Caenorhabditis elegans: one gene and its partner. The protein of the gene in region 2 interacts with the protein of the main gene of each other region in a pairwise test. Each region holds a gene or a part of one and is shown on either strand. Other genes may lie near its edges. The genes, in order: tars-1 and C24A3.2.

What was found.
Region 1: the proteins of C24A3.2 (region 2) and tars-1 interact in a two-hybrid assay, tested with the Caenorhabditis elegans proteins (one large-scale study listed by BioGRID).

What each region holds. Positions count from the first base shown.
Region 1 is NC_003280.10:11,690,649-11,696,050, forward strand, and holds tars-1 (Threonine--tRNA ligase, cytoplasmic), read right to left. Parts: upstream 3,646-5,402; 5' UTR 3,616-3,645; coding exon 3,496-3,615; intron 3,430-3,495; coding exon 3,100-3,429; intron 3,049-3,099; coding exon 2,071-3,048; intron 1,744-2,070; coding exon 1,442-1,743; intron 1,392-1,441; coding exon 1,142-1,391; intron 1,096-1,141; coding exon 898-1,095; 3' UTR 681-897; downstream 1-680. Other genes in the region: kel-1 (BTB domain-containing protein), read left to right, coding at 1-680, 4,132-4,278, 4,328-4,406, 4,460-4,563, 5,296-5,355.
Region 2 is NC_003284.9:8,995,346-8,999,386, reverse strand, and holds C24A3.2 (Neuropeptide-like peptide 36), read right to left. Parts: upstream 1,888-4,041; 5' UTR 1,887-1,887; coding exon 1,734-1,886; intron 1,269-1,733; coding exon 1,231-1,268; coding exon of another isoform or gene 1,200-1,230; exon of another isoform or gene 1,107-1,199; intron 789-1,106; coding exon 758-788; 3' UTR 528-757; downstream 1-527. Other genes in the region: C24A3.1 (Kinesin-like protein), read right to left, coding at 258-316.

The DNA of each region.
Region 1 (5,402 bases), on a different chromosome or scaffold from region 2:
CATTGCTGGGTGATGATTATCTTTTCGAAAAATGGAGAAATGACGAGATGATCAAAAGTGATGCGGCTTGTCTAAACGTGATCATCGAAGGAATGCATCAGCTGAAAATCACGAAGCAAGACATTTCCAGCACGGAGCCCCACTATCCGATTCAGGAGCTCAACCGAAAATGGTTCGTCGCCCGTGAACCCATGCCAGAATCCCAGCACATAATGATCGTCGGTGGGCAGGCTCCAAAAGCGATCACCAACGTCGATTTGTTCGATCCTGATAGCCAACTCTGGAGCTCGTGTGCATCCCTTCCACAGAGAAGGTGCCGAAGTGGAGTGAGCATGTGCAATGGTTACGTGTACACCACTGGCGGGTTCAATGGAGCACAGCGGGTGAGATCCGTGGATTTCTATGATCCACGAACCGATACATGGCGTTCCGCGAATCAGATGAGTGCTCGCCGATCCACTCACGGGATAACCACGTGTCAACAGGTGTTGTATGCAGTTGGGGGATTCGATGGAACTACCGGGCTTGCGAGTGCAGAATATTTCGATCCACACACAGGAAATTGGTTTCCACTTCCATCAATGAGCACGAGAAGATCAAGTGTTGGAGTGGCAGCGTTCGAAGAGGATATCTATGCGATTGGGGGATTCGATGGTGTCTCAAAGCAATGCCTGAATACGGTTTGTTTTACTTCATGAGAAACACTGGTGGGAAATGGGGAGTAAAAGAAAAACCGAAGAAATAAAATAAAAAACAAACAAATATATAAAGCAATACCGAAGAGGATAACAATCAGGGAACACAAAAATTAACTGGAATTCAATGCATTAGAAGACGTGGGCGCGTGGGGGGAACCAATAAATACTATAATTATAAAATTATCAACGAACAAGAAGTTTATGCCCATTCCTCAGACTTTTCCGTGTCGGCGACATACTCGTCAGCAAATCTTCTGAACTTTGAGATAAGCTTGTCGAGTGCGACCTCTCCTCGAACTGCGTTGTCCCTGGTGCGCACATTTACTGTTCCGTTCTCTTTTTCTTTGGCTCCAATGACGAGAATGAAGTTGAACTGGGCAAGCTGGGCCTTTCGGACCTAAAATTTTAATATTGAAATATCTTAAGAATGGAGTTAAATGTACCTGCTTATTCATCGTGTCACCACAATTCTCCTCATACTCAATCTCAAATCCGGCCTCGAAGATCTGCTTTTTGACGTCATTTGCATAGTCTCTGACTGACTCGTGAACAGTGATGATTTTACATTGCCTTGGTGAGAGCCAGAATGGCCATTTTCCTCCATAACTTTCAGTGAGAATAGCTGTCATCCGCTCAACTGATCCAAGAACAGCACGATGAATCATGACTGGTCTCTGCTTTTCTCCCTTCTCGCTGAAAAATTGAAAATTAAATTTTTTTAGATTTTAGAGTTTTTTTCTCACTCGAAATAGGAAAGATCAAATTGATTCGGAAGTTGGAAGTCAAGCTGAATTGTGGCGCACTGGAAGTTTCTCTTGAGAGCATCTTGAATGGTGATATCGATTTTCGGTCCGTAGAATGCTCCATCTCCCGGGTTCAACACCCATTTTCTGCCTGAAGCGTTGAGCGCATTGGTGAGATCTGCTTCGGCCTTGTCCCATGTTTCGATGTTTCCAAGGAATCCTTCTGGTCGTGTCGAGAGGTTAAGCTTGAAGGTGAAGCCGAACACTTTCTCGTAGGCGTACTCGAGGAAGTCGAGGCATTGCTGAAATTTTGTTGGTTTTTTTTTCATTAAAAAGGCAATTTTTCCCTGATTCCGAACATCTAGGTTTGTGAAAATTTTTAAATATGCCTTTCATTTGACGCCATTTGTCGATTTACGTGATTTTTTTTTTCGTGACAATTTATTATATTTAACTAACTGAAAACCGGAAAATTTTGCTGGATTTTTATGTTAATTTAAAAGAAAAAAACCGACGAAAATGAAGAAACATTGAACAACTGATATCGGAATTTTAAAAAATTCTCGTAAATCGACTTTGGGACATTTTTAAAACAATAATTTTTCACTCGGAATCAGAAGCAGAAATACCTTGATCTCCTCGGAAATTTGATCTTGACGACAGAAAATGTGAGCATCATCTTGTTGGAAGCGACGAACACGTGTAAGTCCAGTCAAAGCACCAGACATTTCATTTCTGTGCAAAACTCCAAAATCAGCGAATCGGAATGGAAGCTCATTGTAGGTGTGTGGCATGTGTCCGAACATGAGACAATGCCCCGGGCAGTTCATCGGCTTCAAACCGAACTCTTCCTTCTCCACCTCGATCTTGAACATATCCTCCGAATAATGCTGCCAATGACCGGAAGTCTCCCAGAGCTTTTTGTTGTACATATTTGGAGTGATAACCTCGGTGAAACCGCGTCGTCTGTACTGCTTTCGGATGAAATCGACGAGCTTATTGTAGATATGTGCTCCTTTCGGATACCAGAACGCCGATCCCGGAGAAAGTTGATGAAAGAAGAAGAGATCATGTTCTTTTCCGAGTTTACGATGATCTCGCTTCGCGGCTTCTTCTTGAAGTTTCTGCCACTCTTTAAGTTGCTTTGAATCGGGGAACGAGATTCCATAAAGTCTCTGCAAGGACTCAGCGTCGGCTTTTCCCTCCCAGTAAGACGATGAATTCTTGGTGATTGCCATGGCCTTGACTTTTCCGGTGTGACGGACGTGGGGGCCACGGCACAAGTCAATGAGGGGTCCACATCGATAGACGGTGGTTTTTGGAGTGTGAATCTTTTCCGTGATAATTCTGACTTTGAACTCATTGTACTTGAACATTTCCAGCAGATCCTCTTTTGTCATTTCAAGACGCTCGAACTTTTGCTTATCTTTTACTGCGGCCTTTACGATTTGATCGATCTTCGGGAAATCATCAGGGCAGATTGTGCGGTTCTCATGCCACATATCATAGTAGAAACCTTCTTGGATTGGTGGTCCGTAGCAAAGATGACCTCCACAATAACGCTCCATAGCCTCTCCGAGAACGTGAGCAGAAGAGTGCCAGAAAACCTGAAATTAAATTGATAATTATTTCCATAAAAAACTAAACAAAAAACTCACTTGCTTAGCCTCATCATCATCAAACTTCAAGAGCTCCAACTTTGCATTTCCTTCAAATGGACGATCCAAATCCCACACAGCTCCGTTGACTTTTGCGATGACGGCGGCCTCGGCGAGTCCCTTGGAGATTCTCTCGGCGATTTCGAATGGAGTAGTACGCCATGTCTTTCCCTCGTGGATCTTTCCGTCGGGAAGAGTGATCTGAATTGGCTCAGACTCTTTGGCAGCAATTTCAGCGTCGTATTCCGCCTTCAACTTGTCCCAAAGTTTGATTCTCTCCTCAATGAACGCCGGCCATGGCGCCATATCGGTTGGGGCCTTCGACATTTTCTGAAATTAAAAAAATTAAATTAGTGAATAACTCAATTCTTAAAGTTTATACGGAAAAGTACGTACGTGGCCGTTCACAAAATGATATTTATCAGAAGCCTCGGAAGAAAGCGAGCGATAAAACGGTTTGAAGATTTGTGTCGGTTTTTGAATGTGAACAAATATCCGGAAACAGTTCAATCGCATCTAACGATTCCCATAAGAAGCTGCGCGTACCTTAAATACAATAAGTAAATTTTTATTTCGAAATACTATTAAAGCATGACGGAAAGTGATGCAATGCTTCGACGTGGCGTTCAATACTACTGAGCAAAATAGCGAAATTTACGGGAGAGGCAGAGTGCACAGAGGAGAGGAAAAAGTAAAAAAGAGGAAAAATTCGATTTTACTGGATTAACATTGACTTTAAAGGTAGTAATACCGACATTTTAAAAAGAAAACTCGAATTATAGCCTAAAAAAATTAAAATTTTCATCGAAAAAACTAGAAATTCCCTGCAAAATACTTATGAAAAGCATGGAAATAGGGAAAAGTCTGCAGAAATTGAGATTTAGCGGCGCACGAGAAACGCGTCAGCCCCTTGGTGCGTTTTGTGGTGAGCTGACGCACTTGCTGAATTATAGTGGTAAATAAATTCCAAACTATATTCTTCGGTTTAATAGTAGAAAAATACGTCGATAAATGAAACACCGCACTTTTTAGGTAGAAATTTTCGATCGAAGAGCTCACAAATGGCGTCCAGGGCCTGCAATGCTGAATGTCAGATCAGGAGCTGGCGTCACTGTGTACGATAAGAAAATTATAGCAGTAGGAGGACATAAAGGGGCAGAAATTCACCGATCAGCAGAGGTAGGAATGGGAAAAATTATATTTTACTCCAAAAAAGTCGATAATTTAGATATTAATCGGAGAGGAATGGATTGAGCTCGCCAATATGGCAATTCCGAGAAGAAATACCGCAGCTACAGCTTTGAACGGTAGAATTAATAATTTTAAATCATATTTTTAAATAGTAATAGCATTTTTGCAGGTCTTCTCTATGCTGTGGGTGGCGACGACGGCTCGAGCAATCTGTCAACAATAGAATGTATTCAGCTGAGTGACAGGTCAGACGCGCAGTGGAAAATCGTCGATGTAAGCATAATATTACAAAGAAAAAGTAGTAAAATTTGACGGGAAAAGTGATTTTTGACCAAAGAAAATAGATTTTCTTTCAAAAATCCCGCATTGAAAACTGGTCTCCGCGAGACCCAGCTAGAAAGTAATATGCGCCTTTAAATAGGTACTGTAGTTAATTTTCAATTTTTAAAAATTGGGTTTTCACAATTTTAATTTTCTTTGACAATTTTTGTTTTGATAAAACATAATATTACAAGAAAATACATTAAATACTGACCGAAAAATACTACTTACTGAGTGAGAAAAATTCAATTCTATTTAAAAATTTCCACTATGAAAGCTGGTCGCTGTGAGACCCACCTGAAACAGTGTTAGGCGCCTTTAAATAAAATACTGTAGTTAAAATCTCATTTTGAGACCCGAAGAACTCGGGGGATGTCCAACTGGGGGGATTACCAACTCGGGGGATTGGCCCCGCCCACAGAACCGTGGCTTGCAATACGCCCATTTCTGCAACTGCCGCACGGTTTTAAAACTGTATTTTTCTCAATAGAGCGAGAATTAACAAGAAAAAATGATTTTAAAACCGTGCGGCAGTTGCAGAAATGGGCGTATTGCAAGCCACGGTTCTGTGGGCGGGGCCAATCCCCCGAGTTGGTAATCCCCCCAGTTGGACATCCCCCGAGTTCTTCGGGTCTCCTCATTTTAAAACATGTTTTGTTATTTAATTTCCGTTTTTTTTTTCAGGCTCCAATGTCGCAGGGACGCTCCTACGCCGGAATCGCATTGATTCCAAAAGAATTTTAGTAATTTTCAGTTTACATGTATTTTCTTGCCATTCAAAAATAAAATAA
Region 2 (4,041 bases):
AAGCTACAGAAACCAAACTCTGTGTACTCAATTAATAAGAAATGAATCACAAAATAGAAGACAAAAATGAAAAATGAATACTTTTGTGTATTAAAAACATTAAAGCCTAATTAAAAAATAAAATTCACATATGGATTTTGAAAATTATGCCTTTCAACATATTCTGTTTTGTTTTCAAAAAAAAGAGAATAATTTTGAACCAAAAATTAATTTATGTGTTTTCTATTAAATGTATTGTTTTTTTGAAGAAAACTCACGCTAGTCCAAGAATAATATCCTTAGCAGTATCTCGTGTTCCTCTAGGTCGTCGCGACATTATTTTCAAGATCCAAACACTAGACGTTTTCTTCCTACTTTTCCTTTTTTTTCGCAACGCCGCACGCTTCACGCCTAGCAACAGTTTTCTCTGAAAGTTGCTATGACCACCCTCATACGTAACATCTTTTGTTTTCAAAAATCCCTTTTTTTTTGTTGGCAACTTTATTATTTCCAATAAGCTGTGAGAAGGAGGAGAAAGTAAAGTGAACCAGAAAAAACTATGTATTCATTAAAAAAAAACGAGAGATGGTGATGGGTAAATGAAGAATTCAAACACTATAATTGTAAAACGTTAATTGCATAGAAATCAATACAAAAAATTGTTTGTTAGTTTTGATTCAGAGATGAACTTTAAATTGAAAATAAAAAATAAAAAAGGAATGAGGAGAGAAGGCGATCGACATGAACCATTTTCGATGATCTTGGTCTTGATTTTGATCTAGAAATCTTTATCCACCTCCAACTTTGATCTGGAATAATTGTTTAATTATGTTTTGTGGTGTCTTTTTTTGGGAAATCGAAACTTCAACAAAAGATGTTAGCAACAAAAAAGTTGAAAAATTGTGTTAGATAAATTTTGCAAATTTGAAAAATTATTAACTAGATAATTTCAAAAGATACCTGAAAAATCAAAATTTAGCGTAATTAAAGCCATATTGTTTTGTGACTTGAAAAATTGATTTCAATAAGTTATTTTGTATTATACATCTGTTTCACATTTAAATATTTCTTTTGTTTTCTTTTTTCCTCAAAATTGCAGTTTTGAGTTTGAAAACCAATCTACCTACCGAAACATAAGTTACACAACTACATAGGGTAAAGAATCTATTTGAAGATGGGGGGAAAACGGTGTTAGATGAGCAGAAGAGGTGAGAAGCAAGTTATTCAGCCTTGGCCTCTTGAGCTGCCAACCTCTGAGATGGAATGCGTGGCTGTGGTCCGAATCCGTACTGAAAAATATTTTGTTGAGTTTTTTTAAAAACATTTCCTACAATTCAACATCAGATCCTAATCTAATTTACACTCTAAGGCTATTTCAAAATTTTCATTAACCATTCCGTTGTTGAATTTGATCAACATTTCGTACTAATGTTCTATTTTCTTATGCATCTCCCATTTTCTTAACAAACAAATTAAACAAAGAGTGTCGGAGCCCTCTTATGCATACTCTTTTAGTGACGCGCACTGACGTCATTTTTCTTCTCCCATAAAATTTCACAATTCACCACTCAACTGTCCTATAAGCATCACACTTTTTACAATTACAATTCCACCAAAAAGTTATTAGTCTCCTAAAAATTTTTTCTCAATGAGCTATAAAGTGCTGTTGACGTCACTGATCTTTCTCTCCTCACACGAGACGGCGGATGTGCAGAGAACGAATCGAATTGAGACAGATTTTTTAAATAACAAACCTTGGCAAACACAGTTGGATCGTCGTCTTTCGATACGCAGCACCACAGGATGCAGGTGATGGAAATCACTAAAATGGCACCGAAGAAGCAGAGCCACACGGCAACCACACCCAAGTAGTCAATCCATTGGAGTTGTTGCTTCAAGTCGACCATTCTGAAAATTAAACCGTGAGAACGGTTTCCAAACGTTAAAAAAGAAAGGAAAATATAATAAAGCAAAGTTTATAATTTTTAAATTTTTTTGTGAACTTTTTTTTTGAAAGATTAACGGCGAAACAAAAAAAAACAAGCCATTCTAACGGGAATACATTTTTGGAACGTGGTGCAAGCCGTTCTTTGGATAAATGGAAAAAGGTGATGTGTTCAAAATGAAGGGTTCACATGAACAGAAAGAAAAGAAATTGAAAATGCTGGTCTCGTACTGGCCAATGCTCTACGGAGCACACCATTTGCGGCAAAAAGGGAAAGTGGGTGAGCCATGGAGAGAGAGGCGCGCTGCACAGCGTTTTGAATTTGAAAGCAAAAGGAGAGATGAACTGCAAACCCAAGACCCAAGCGCAACTCGACTGACAACTAATTTCGGAGCAAAATTTCGAGCAAATTTTAGTGTAGTTTTTCGCGATACCTTCTGTCGAATTTTTCCCAATGTCTTGAGAAGCAGCTCGGCTTACTTAGCAAACAGTGGCAAAAAGAGCCGAGGAGGTAAGGAGGAGCAAAAGCACAAACAGTAGGCATTGCACAATTTTGTTGAATTTTGTCTTTTACTTTTTTCTCTTTGAAACCCATTGTGGAAGAAGTCCAACTCATTTTGTGAGTTTTTTGTAGAGTAAATTCGAAAACCCAAAAACACCAAATGGAGAAGGAAAGAAGGATGGGAGAATAAGGGAAAAGAAGGAAAATTGAATTGAAAAAAGCAAGTCTTCGACATTGAAGAAACGGAAAAGGTTTTCTGCTCTTTTTTTCAATCTGGGAAAGAATTGAAAAAAGTATGTGGCTGAAGAGGCGAAGGAAAAATAGGAAAAATAGGAAAAATGCATGGAAAAAGAAAGAACAAAACGTCCCCCCTATGTTTTTTGTTGTGATAAAAGAAGAGAGACAAAAGACATCTCGAATGAGAAAAGGGTGTCTATGTTTATGTTTGTTGGCTTTACTAAATTTTCGAGCAAGCTTGACAAACTTTTTCAAAAAGTAATTGTAAAAAACCTCACAAATAAATTTCTACATTTAAATTTTTAACTTTTCTTATTGCGTGTAGAATTTTTTTGGATTGCTTGAAAAGAAAAAAGTTAAATCGAGTAAAAAAATTTATAAACTCTATAGATCTTTACAGTTAGGACCGTAACATCAAACACCGGAAAAATGAAAATATTCCTGGTTTTTCAATAACGTTGAAAAGAAGCATACACATAACTGATATTAATGCTGCATCCTAATATTTTTCTAACAATAAGTATGTCAAGTTTGAATGAGAAGATTAAAAATAAAAAATCTGAATAATTTTTGCAAAACTTTCATCGGTGTTGATTGACATTTTTAGCGCATATTCAGACGTCTTTTGTTCCAAATTAACAACAGCTGAAGTTTTAACTAAGACAAGTACGTCTACTCTTTTTTTTTTGCAGTTTGGGAAAATATAAATGCGTCTTCAGGTAAAAGTACTAAAATACACAACAGGGCAATTTGCGATATCCAGATGACGAAGAACGCACAACAACTGACTTTGGAGCGTAACTCTCGAGAAATCGGAACTCGGAGAGAGATAGTTCAAGCCTTTGAGACGCAGATATCTTGGTAGTAAGGGACCAAGAGAAGCGGCGTCAAAGAAAACGAGACCCCAGCGGTAGTCGAAGAAAAAGAAAATAGCCGGGACCCCCCTTCTCCTACAGCCTAACGGCGGTGGCGGCAGTGGCTTCATCCTCCTTCCAACACTGCCGAGTTCATAGAGAAGGGAGAAGAAGAAGAAGAAGAAGAAGAAGAAGAAGAAGAAGAAGGAGTAGACGATGGAGAATAAGCTTGCTCCGAAAAGAAGATGCGGGAGGGATCAATATATTCTGAGAGAAGAGGGTGACGGGGGCCTCAACGACTCGGCGGACGGGCGACGGGACTAACGGGGTGGCGTCGGAAAATTTTGTGTATGTATGCGTTGAGAGAGAAAGAAAGAGAAGAACCGAAACAAAATGGCCCCCAGCGCGCGGCACACCACTACCACCAAATCGTTGGCTCTTCTTTTTTTGACGAGCTTCAGTCTCTTCAAGCGCACTCTGTAAATAGAAAACATGAAAATGAGTACAGGGATCTGACAGTGGTA